Oryzias latipes: one gene and its partner. The protein of the gene in region 1 purifies or fractionates together with the protein of each later gene. This does not show direct contact. Links are inferred from orthologs where the notes say so. Each region holds a gene or a part of one and is shown in the gene's direction. Other genes may lie near its edges.

The links.
Region 2: the proteins of rictor (region 1) and mlst8 purify together in Homo sapiens (affinity purification with western blotting; 14 studies listed by BioGRID and IntAct, with this or other methods). This does not show direct contact. The link is inferred for Oryzias latipes from reciprocal best matches to the Homo sapiens genes RICTOR and MLST8.

The regions. Positions count from the first base shown.
Region 1 is NC_019867.2:18,765,274-18,770,151, reverse strand, and holds the start of rictor (rapamycin-insensitive companion of mTOR), read left to right. Parts: upstream 1-1,651; 5' UTR 1,652-1,669; coding exon 1,670-1,718; intron 1,719-1,843; coding exon 1,844-1,891; intron 1,892-4,153; coding exon 4,154-4,251; intron 4,252-4,878. UniProt on the Homo sapiens protein: Component of the mechanistic target of rapamycin complex 2 (mTORC2), which transduces signals from growth factors to pathways involved in proliferation, cytoskeletal organization, lipogenesis and anabolic output.
Region 2 is NC_019877.2:3,130,883-3,135,605, reverse strand, and holds the start of mlst8 (target of rapamycin complex subunit LST8), read left to right. Parts: upstream 1-1,734; 5' UTR 1,735-1,983; coding exon 1,984-2,112; intron 2,113-2,625; coding exon 2,626-2,677; intron 2,678-2,747; coding exon 2,748-2,910; intron 2,911-2,982; coding exon 2,983-3,058; intron 3,059-3,134; coding exon 3,135-3,287; intron 3,288-3,370; coding exon 3,371-3,495; intron 3,496-3,577; coding exon 3,578-3,741; intron 3,742-4,705; coding exon 4,706-4,723. Other genes in the region: meiob (meiosis-specific with OB domain-containing protein), read left to right, coding at 318-462, 536-722, 815-901, 985-1,098.

The DNA.
Region 1 (4,878 bases):
TTTGTACAAGGAGAGACAAAAACAGGAAGTGACTTGAAATAACTTGAAAACTTGCAGTAAGGGAAAAACAGACTAGTGAAACTGCAAAAAAGTTCTTCAAAATGAGGTTTAAGTGAGAGGTGAAAGAAACCACCTATTAAAGCATTTGATGGATTATTTTGCGCTTTTACGCGGGTGACATTTATAAAAGTTGGAAGTGAAATGAAGACATATCTGTGAACATAATATAAATAGGTTTTGTGATAAACATTCAAGAGGAAGGATTAGTGATTTTTCAACACATTTCCAAAGTTGAATTGAATTGAAATGGTTCATTTCAAGCAATCAAATAGGAATAATACATAAAAACAATACAATCATCAGTTATAGATTCGTACCACAACTAATCAAACTTTGGATAATTAATCATATAAATAAATATTGCTTGAAAGGGAGTGGAAGGAAGCGAACTTATATAAACCCACCCCTGTTCTACCGTAACCATTTTATAACATGATTTATCATTATCCGGTTAAGTGGCCATCTTTTTTCTGTCTTGGTTTGTGTTCGTAAAGCATTAGCGCCATCTAGTGGTTAATGTGGTCATAGCAACCTGAGTTTTCTTGCAGCTTTTAAAAAAAAATGATAATATAACAACTGAAAATGTTGAAACATTCGTCTTTTACTTTTGGTACCTCTGTTTTTTAATGAACCAGTTATTCTGTAATTTACACGTCTTGAATTTTTTGCATGAAAGAAGTCTTTGGTATCACAACGTTAGTAAAAACAAACACGTTTTTTACTCAAGAGAGAAGCTAAAAATAATTCATGTATTGTTCATCGTTTAGAGTACACTTCTATGAACTCAAGTAACAAGCTCTGTGGGACCAGCTGTCATAAACTATACAGCGACAGACATCAAGACTCATGATCAAGACTCATGAGGTTGGAATGAAAAAGTAGGTCAAGGTCTTTCTGTAATTGCAAAATCATTTAAGCAGGCTAATGCAACAAAAATCCCTTTGGGTTTGAACAAAAATAGTCTCTGAGAAGATGAAAGAATTATGTTTTTGCTGATATGTGTGCAGAAAAAGGAGCTGCAGTGATGTCCAAATCCTCTAAGCAGGTCCATTATGTGCACTACTTGTGTTGTACTTATTATTGTTATTTATTCTTTGAATATTTCCTATTTGTAACAATAACTTTAACATAACACAACTTGCCTTAAATCAAGTTAGAACATATTATTTTTTGTTTTCAACTTAAATATTTCCCTAAAGTTAGGATAAAAACATACGTTTAAACCATATTACAAAACATTTTGCACAAATTATTCCTGTCACTAAATCCCAATCATACATGAAAACATGAACCATGACACAAACTCAAACAAAAAAACTAAGATTTGTTTTTATAAAAACAAATTTAGCAAATTGGTCATGCTGAAAAATATTAATAAATAAATATTACATTTGCAATTAAAACTCGAATACTGCTGCTAACTAAACTGTTTATTTCTGTCGTTCAGTCGCCAGGTCAGATTATTTTTTCATTGCCGTTGGAGGTTAAGGGATTAACTGGGATTCGCCTGATCCCAGATCTGTGATTTGCACCGCAGCGATTTGCGTTTGATGTCCGTGTTCTCGCGACATTCCGCGAAGTTTCCGGTGTTGTGTATGTTCCTGGAAACATGGCGGCCAGCTTCCGCGGCCGTCCTATCCGGAGTCTTCGGATGCGAGGTAAGCGTGAAAAACTCAGCTCATAATTTGTTGGAATGGCAGCGTATTGCAATAAGAGCACGTCTCCCACAAAACATAGCATTGAATTTGTCCTTCAGCGTTTCCGTTGCGTTTGTTTTTGTCAGGGCGGAATGACAGCGGGGAGGAGAACGTACCGCTGGATCTGAGTAGAGGTAAGCAGAGGCTCATCATTCTAAAAGCTATTATTGCTCAAAATGGATTATGGTTGACTTTATGCACAAAATATACGAACCTCTAAATGAACCACGAGATTGCCACGTGGATGCATTTTTAATTAAACGTTTTATTTGTTGTTGTTTTGTTCAAAAATCTTCCTTTGTGGCTATAAACAGGCGAGAGGGAGCTAACTAGCTAGCTGATTTAGCGTTAGCTGGCTGCCACAGCTAACCAGTCATGACGATGCGCTGTTGTTTTGGTAGGCGTGAGTGGGCTGCAGAGCCTGCTATTTAGCGAGACAGCCATTAGAGTTGCATTAATACACGAGGCTCCGCTGGCTGTCAGAAACCCTGAGCTTAAGCCGGTTTGCTGAGCAATGCACATACGGGCTTTTTTTTTTTTATTCACAGCTCAGCCGAGTTAAATTTGCTCATCTAGCAACAGCACTGTCTGCTTGTTTGTTTACACCAACCAGCGGCTGTTTTCTTTGTTTGGAACCTTTTGCGGCTGCTAGGCACACTTGACTCACGATAAAAGCACGATCAACGAGTTCTGATGGAAACATTTCGGTCCTAAATTAGGAAAACGATTACGAACATAGTTTGTGTTTTTTGTCAGCTTAGGTTTTTATATAAAACGTATCTTACTGGAACAAACTCAACCATTGATGGGGGGTATTCCAGAAAGTAGGTTATGCTATTTACCACGATAAGTTTGAGGCTAAGGAAGCGGATAGCCTCAGCTTTTGGTTCCAAAAACAGTGGTATGTTTCAGGGTATGTGAAGTTGCTATAGCAACTCATGCTCTGAACATAACCTGGTCTGGAGCAGGTTTAGTTGAAGGTTAGTTGGTTTCAGAGAGGTGAAGGAGCATGCAGTGTCCATTTGAAGATGATTTAGTGGATGAAGAAGCTCAGATAATACTTTTTCCACCATGAGAGGGTGATAAGACCACGTATGGATGTTGGAAAGATGAACTTTTTTACATTAATCTAACTTAATTATTTGCTTCAGTTAAGATACATTCTTTTTGTTACATGAGCTTAAAAAGAACACTAAGTTATCAGACAGTTATTTTACTTTAATTCAAATTAATTCAATTAAGTAGGTGTAACTTTGGTGCTGCTGTTAGATCGGCGCTGCAAGGAATTGTGGGATACCATTCCCTTTGCCTGTCTGGACGGATTTGGGTTTAAGTGTGGGTTTTTGACCAAATGTGTTTAGTTGTTTATCTGTTTTACTGTGTATTTCCGAGTTATTTGTCCTGTTGTGTTTAATTCTTTCTGCACCATGAGTGAGAGGGAGGGAGAGAATGATGAGGTTATTTAGCACCCCTACTGCTCAGTGTTGTAATGTCAAAGTCAGAGAAAGGATAAATGACTTTAAGTTTTGTGTTGTGAATCTATATTGTTTCATTCATTTTAATGTTATAAAAATGAGAATATCTACAGGCTCAAATGTAGACATATGAGAGTTCAAGAAATACAATAAATTAAGATGGAAAGACATTTAATTGAATTGGAGTAATATGACATTTAGTTAGAAAAATATGTAAATTTGAGATTTCAGCCAGAGTTCAGGGTTAAAGTCAGGGTAGTTTAAACATGCTTCCTGGATTACCCCCCAGGAACGTTTATAATGCAATAACACCACTGTTTCTTAAACGATTGATCGATTTTTGCTTCACGGATAAGAAGCTAAAGTTTAAGGTATATTTATACACCAGTGCTTGTTTGCCTTTTTGCTTTTGATACTTTTATCTTAGCATCATATAGGAAATCTTCTTAAATGTCAACCTCAGTTAAACCATTTTCGTGGTATTCTATTGTTTTGTTTTGTAGCTGTACGGATTTTTCCCCCTTTGTATTTGAAGTTCTAAATCTTGTTAAAATATCAGTTTTTTTTATGGAGAGATAATATAAGACAATTTAAAACATAATCTGGGATTAGGATGGTCTATTTACGTGTTTGTGAAATGGATTTCTTCATTGATTGGTATATCTGACATTAGTTTCTACAGATATTAGATGTCTACATATGAAATAACCTCGCAAGTGTTTTAATATTTTATCAAATAATTAACATTAGATGAATTGTTGGAAAGCAAAGTCTAACTTGCTCGACTTTGCTTTTTGCTATAAAGGTCTAGTTTTGACTGCATAAACGTAAAACTAGTAAACTAATTGATAGCCCTTTCCTTTTCTCCTGTAACCACAGAGCTATTTTGTCCACTGAAATGGTCTTTTTGTTTCCCTCTAGAACCATCAGAAAACTTCCGGGAAATTCTTCAAAATGTGGCTAAACCACACGGAGTTAGCAACATGCGAAAACTGGGCCACCTGAACAACTTCATAAAGGTAAGAATGCTGCAGCATTTTTTTGCTCCACATGCAGCTTTTTAAGGAAGATGACTGTAGATATATTGAATGACTGATCAACTACTCTTCCTCTGAAATGTAGCTGCTGACCTGCTGAGGTTTATACCACAGTTTAGATTAAAAAAAAAAAAAAGCTCTGGGGATAGAAATGCATCATAAGCTTCTATTCAACTAGAATAACCTGCTGGCTATAAAACTAAAATAATATATATATTTTTTTACTGTAAACCCTAACTTGTTTCTCAATTTGTTTTCCTATTCCTCAGTATGTTTGGATTATGTTTAATATTTGTTGCAAAAGTGAAGATTCTCCTAAACTTATCTGACTCCGGTGGCAAAATTGTTAAAGAGATGGAGACAGTTTTAGGTCCATCTAAATTGGAACAAGATCAGGGATTTCAGAGCACCTCTGAAGAGACTTTAGAAAGGCTCAGACCAACCTTTAATAGCACAATGTTTTAACAAGCAGTTGAGTTTCACCTCCATCTATCCCCGCAAAAAAAGTATATATCACCTTTGACACACTAAAAAACGATTTTTGCAGCTAATTTCCTGCCCGGAGGTAAGAAGACTTGATCTCTGAAGCACTGCCTTTCGCTCCTTGTG
Region 2 (4,723 bases), on another chromosome or scaffold:
AGATGCTCAATTATATCATTCATATTTAAAAGGATGTTATTATTTTCCTCTGTTGTCTTGTCTTTTTGTGTCTAATAAAAGAAAAATCACATTTGAGGTCTTTAAACTAAAATTCTAATCAGTCACTTTGTGGTGAACTCCACAACAAAGCTAAATGCTTTATTATTAAATATAATACATTTGAATAATTATTAAGAGGATCCGTAAACCAAAAGGTAAATCATTCAGACTCCATACCCGGTTGTTGATAAGAGTTGGTGTTTGTTTGTTTTTTGTGGCTTCATTTTTGCGTGTTTGTGTTTGTTTTCTGCCTGCAGTGGACTCCATCACTGACGTTTACACCGTCAACCAGCTGAAGTTGAAGGCCAAGGAGCAACCGGAGACTTTCTTCGGCCTGACTTACAGCTTCATCTCCAAGCTGGACCTGGACTCCTCTGCCTCTAAAGTCATCAAGACCCGCTGGTACGATCGCACCAAAGTCACGGCCTCCTTCTTTCCTTCCATCTGTCCGTGCTTCGATTTGGGCTTTTTTCAGCTCTAAATGTAGGTTCCTGCTGACGGCGGACATGCAGAGCTGCGGTAACCAGCTGTGTCCGGGCGGGGAGCAGCCGTTCTCAGGCACCACAGGCTTCGACCTGCTGGTGGACCTGACCGACCACACCGGCACGCTGCAGGCCTGCAGCCTCCGGGGCGCCACGGCGGAGCAGACGCTCGGCTGCTCGGTCGGTAACTCCTCAGAGGCTGAGGGGGGGGGTCAGCTCCAAACTGCTGAGATCCACAGACTTCTCTTAAATATGCTGCTGCCTGCTTCCAGACGGACGAGTTCATCCGTCTGACCGATGATCAGCGCACCGCTCTCAAGTGGAAGTTTCTTCTGGAAAGATGCAAAATATACCTGAAGGTATTCCAGCCTTCAAAAGGCATGTTTTTTTTTTTTTTGTCTTTGTGATGTGTTTTTATTGTTCATGAGATCGTCTGCCGCAGATCCTTCCCTCTGCGAGAACGAAAAGCGGCATCAGGGGGGTGATCCTGGCCTGCTCTCCGGCCGACCCAGGAGAGGTGAAGCAGCATATGTCGGCTGTTCTGCAGCAGCTTTGAACCAGCAATGCGAAGTCTGTTCTATTTACATTTGTTCTGCGCTAATTACAATGTAAACAGATGCTTCAACTGTTATTTATTTATTTATTCTTATTTATTTAACTTATTGATATAAATTGATTTATTTAAAAAAAGGCGTTAAATTGTTCCTGTTTAATAAAGTTGTGTTTTGAAAAAAAATTCTGATTTATTATCACAAAATACAATTAAAAAAGAAAAAAAAAACAAAAGCAACTGTTATAAAAAAAAGTATATTTAAAATAAAAAGAATGATGTAGATTTTATGTAGCGACAATAAATGCTTTATTTAAAGCAATTTTAACCATAAAAAAAGAAAAATATGTATTAAAATTTTGAATTCATAAAAATGATTAAAAAGAAATAAAACAATATGTTTAAATATTTTTTGACATATTACTCTGAATCATAAGGAGACATATTTGCACATTTATTGTAATGATTGCCAAATAAAAGTTGATTAATTACCTGAAAGAGTGTGGGAAAAGGCGATTTTATGATTCTACCTCTATTATGATTTATTTTTTATTATTATTATTTTACATCGTTGCATTCCTGCATTTAAACAATTTTTTTTTCAAAGCGGAACGTTTGACACACTTCTGTGTTTATCGGGGACGCGTTAGTCAGACGTACCGCAGTCGCGAATGATGGCTTCAGGAAATCTGTAAAGCGAATTCTTATCAGATTTTTAGATGTTTTCTCACATTCAGATATTTTTAAAACGGCTTTTCTTTAAAAGAGTTAACTTCAAAAAGCTTGAGCTGACGTCGTTGGCCGATCGTTTGGACCGAGTTCGTCAGATGTAACTAAGTGGACTGACGGGTTCTGGTGTTGTTTGTAACCGTGACACACTAGCGGAGAAGCATGAATGTCAACCAGGGCACGGTGGGCAGCGACCCGGTTATCCTGGCCACGGCTGGATACGATCACACAGTCCGGTTCTGGCAGGCCCACAGCGGGATCTGTACCCGGACGGTGCAGCATCAGGACTCGGTATCCTTTCCCTGGTTAGAACGGTTCGGTGAGAGCTCTCTGTTTACATGCGCTACCGCTGGCTTACAGCCGCTCACACCCCAACCTGACGAAATGGCCCCCAATTTCGGAGCTTTACTGAATTGAAAAACAAAATTATGACTTTAGTCTCGTAAAATTTTACATTTTTATTGTTGTTTATACTTTTACAAATTTATTAGTGTAATTTTTTTTTACTTTTTAATAATAATTTTACTACGGAACGGTATTATGTTAAATAAAAATAAAATACAGGTGACCTTTGCTCTAACTTGTTTGACATAATCCGTTTTTGTTTTGTTTTTGTTTGATTCACCACACACACTAAAAATAAAACCATCAACTGTTAATTAAATGCAATAGGCTTAATATTTTACAGCATTATTCTCATACATAATATGTATTTTGTTGTAGAAAAATGCTATAAAAGGCATATATATGCTAAATACCTCAAAAACGCGACTTTCGGAGTGGGCCTTTAACTCGTCATTTCAGCAAGTGAATTCCCTTGAAGTGACCCCGGACAGAAGCATGATCGCCGCCGCAGGTCAGTCCAAACTCTCCCATTTGAAGGCTGCGCGGCGTTTCACTGCGCGTTCCTCCTCTTCCTCCTGCAGGGTATCAGCACATCCGCATGTACGACCTGAACTCCAACAACCCAAACCCCGTCATCAACTACGACGGAGTCAGCAAGAACATCACCTCCGTGGGCTTCCATGAGGACGGACGCTGGATGTACACCGGAGGAGAGGACTGCATGGCTCGCATATGGGACCTAAGGTACGGCGGTTCACCTCCACCGCACACCCCGGCAGAAATCCACTCTGCTGTTATCAACCCTCCTCCTTTCAGGTCAAGAAACCTGCAGTGTCAGAGGATCTTCCAAGTAAACGCTCCCATCAACTGTGTGTGTCTTCATCCCAATCAGGTATCCTCAAAGCTGCACAGGTGTTTGATGTGGATTTATCTGTAGATTTGTCAGCGTTTTGTGATTTTTCTTTTAGGCGGAGCTGATTGTTGGGGATCAGAGTGGCGTGATTCACATCTGGGACCTGAAAACGGACCACAACGAACAGCTGATTCCAGAGCCAGAAGTCTCGGTGAACTCTGTCCACATCGACCCCGATGCCAGCTACATGGCAGCCGTCAACAGCTCGGTGCGTCCCCAAACTGAACATGGGACGCAAAAACTGGGGTTGGAGAGAAACTAGAGTGAGGTTCCTGTTCCCCCCCCCAACAGGGAAACTGTTACGTGTGGAACCTGGCTGGAGGGATGGGAGACGAAGTGACGCAGCTCATTCCAAAGACGAAGATCCCGGCGCACAAACGATACTCGCTGCGCTGCAAGTTCAGCCCCGACTCCACGTGAGGCTTTTTGTTGTTTCTGCCTGACGTGAGGCCAAACAGAAAAAAAACCTCATTGATGTTTCTCCTTGAATGTCTCCAGACTACTGGCCACCTGCTCAGCGGATCAGACCTGCAAGATCTGGAGGACGTCCAACTTCTCCCTGATGACGGAGCTGAGCATCAAAAGCAACAACCCCGGGGAGACGTCCCGAGGCTGGATGTGGGACTGCGCCTTCTCCGGAGACTCGCAGTACATCGTTACAGGTGCGTACCTTCACCTTTGGGTCTGTCCCCTTGTCCCGCTGAGTTTTTAAAGTTAAAAATGGCATGTTTTAGCAAACTTTAATATAAAATTAAAGCCGTAAACGGCGTTGCATGACCTGCAGAGGACACTGCCCCCTTTTGAACCGCCTTCACCCTCCCCTTCTGCCAGTCTGGTCACAAATTCATGAAAGAGAACACTTTTATTCAAAAGTGCGGCTTTTCTGATGGTTTTATCTCCATGGCAACCATTTCAGTTTTTGGTCACCGCGGGGTGACGAACAGGTTTCGGTCATTTTTAGAAGAATCTGCAAAAGTAGATTTTTGGATTTCCTTAGCAACGTAGGATTTTTGTTAACCACACCCACATTTCTTATATGTTCATATTGTTTGTCATATCGTTTGGTTCAGCTTGAGCAGAGGTGCGCTCCATTTTCTCAATATTCCGGTAAAAAATGCGCCCACAACAGGAAATCGCCACTTTTGTGAACTCGCCGTTCAAAATCCACAAACTTTATTTCCAAAATTCCAATTAGTTTCCCAAGGACACCGCTCCAGGAGTCAGGAGGCGATTCTTAGGAGGAGTTTAAATTTGTAGCTGGGACTAAACGGGATAAATATGTATTTTTTTACAAAATTCAAGATGGCAGCTTCTTCCCGAGGTCAAAGGTCAATGAAACTTCAGCTCTTGTTGAAGACTTTTGAATTGTAAATTGTAGAATAAATTGTAGACGAATGTGAAAATCACCAAACGTCACTCTCTGCCACACAGTGACCACCAAGCCGTGGCACCTGTGGCCATCCCATAATAATTAAAAAAACTTCCTTCCAATCTGGTCGTCGTAGTCCAGGATTATTGCGGGGCGGAGTAATAATCCCGGTTTTTATCATTATCCAGCTGTTTCTTTAATGTTAGGAATCAGTTGAAGCAGAAAAATGGAGGTAAAGTCGCGTTTTTGTTCCGCAGCGTCTTCAGACAATCTCG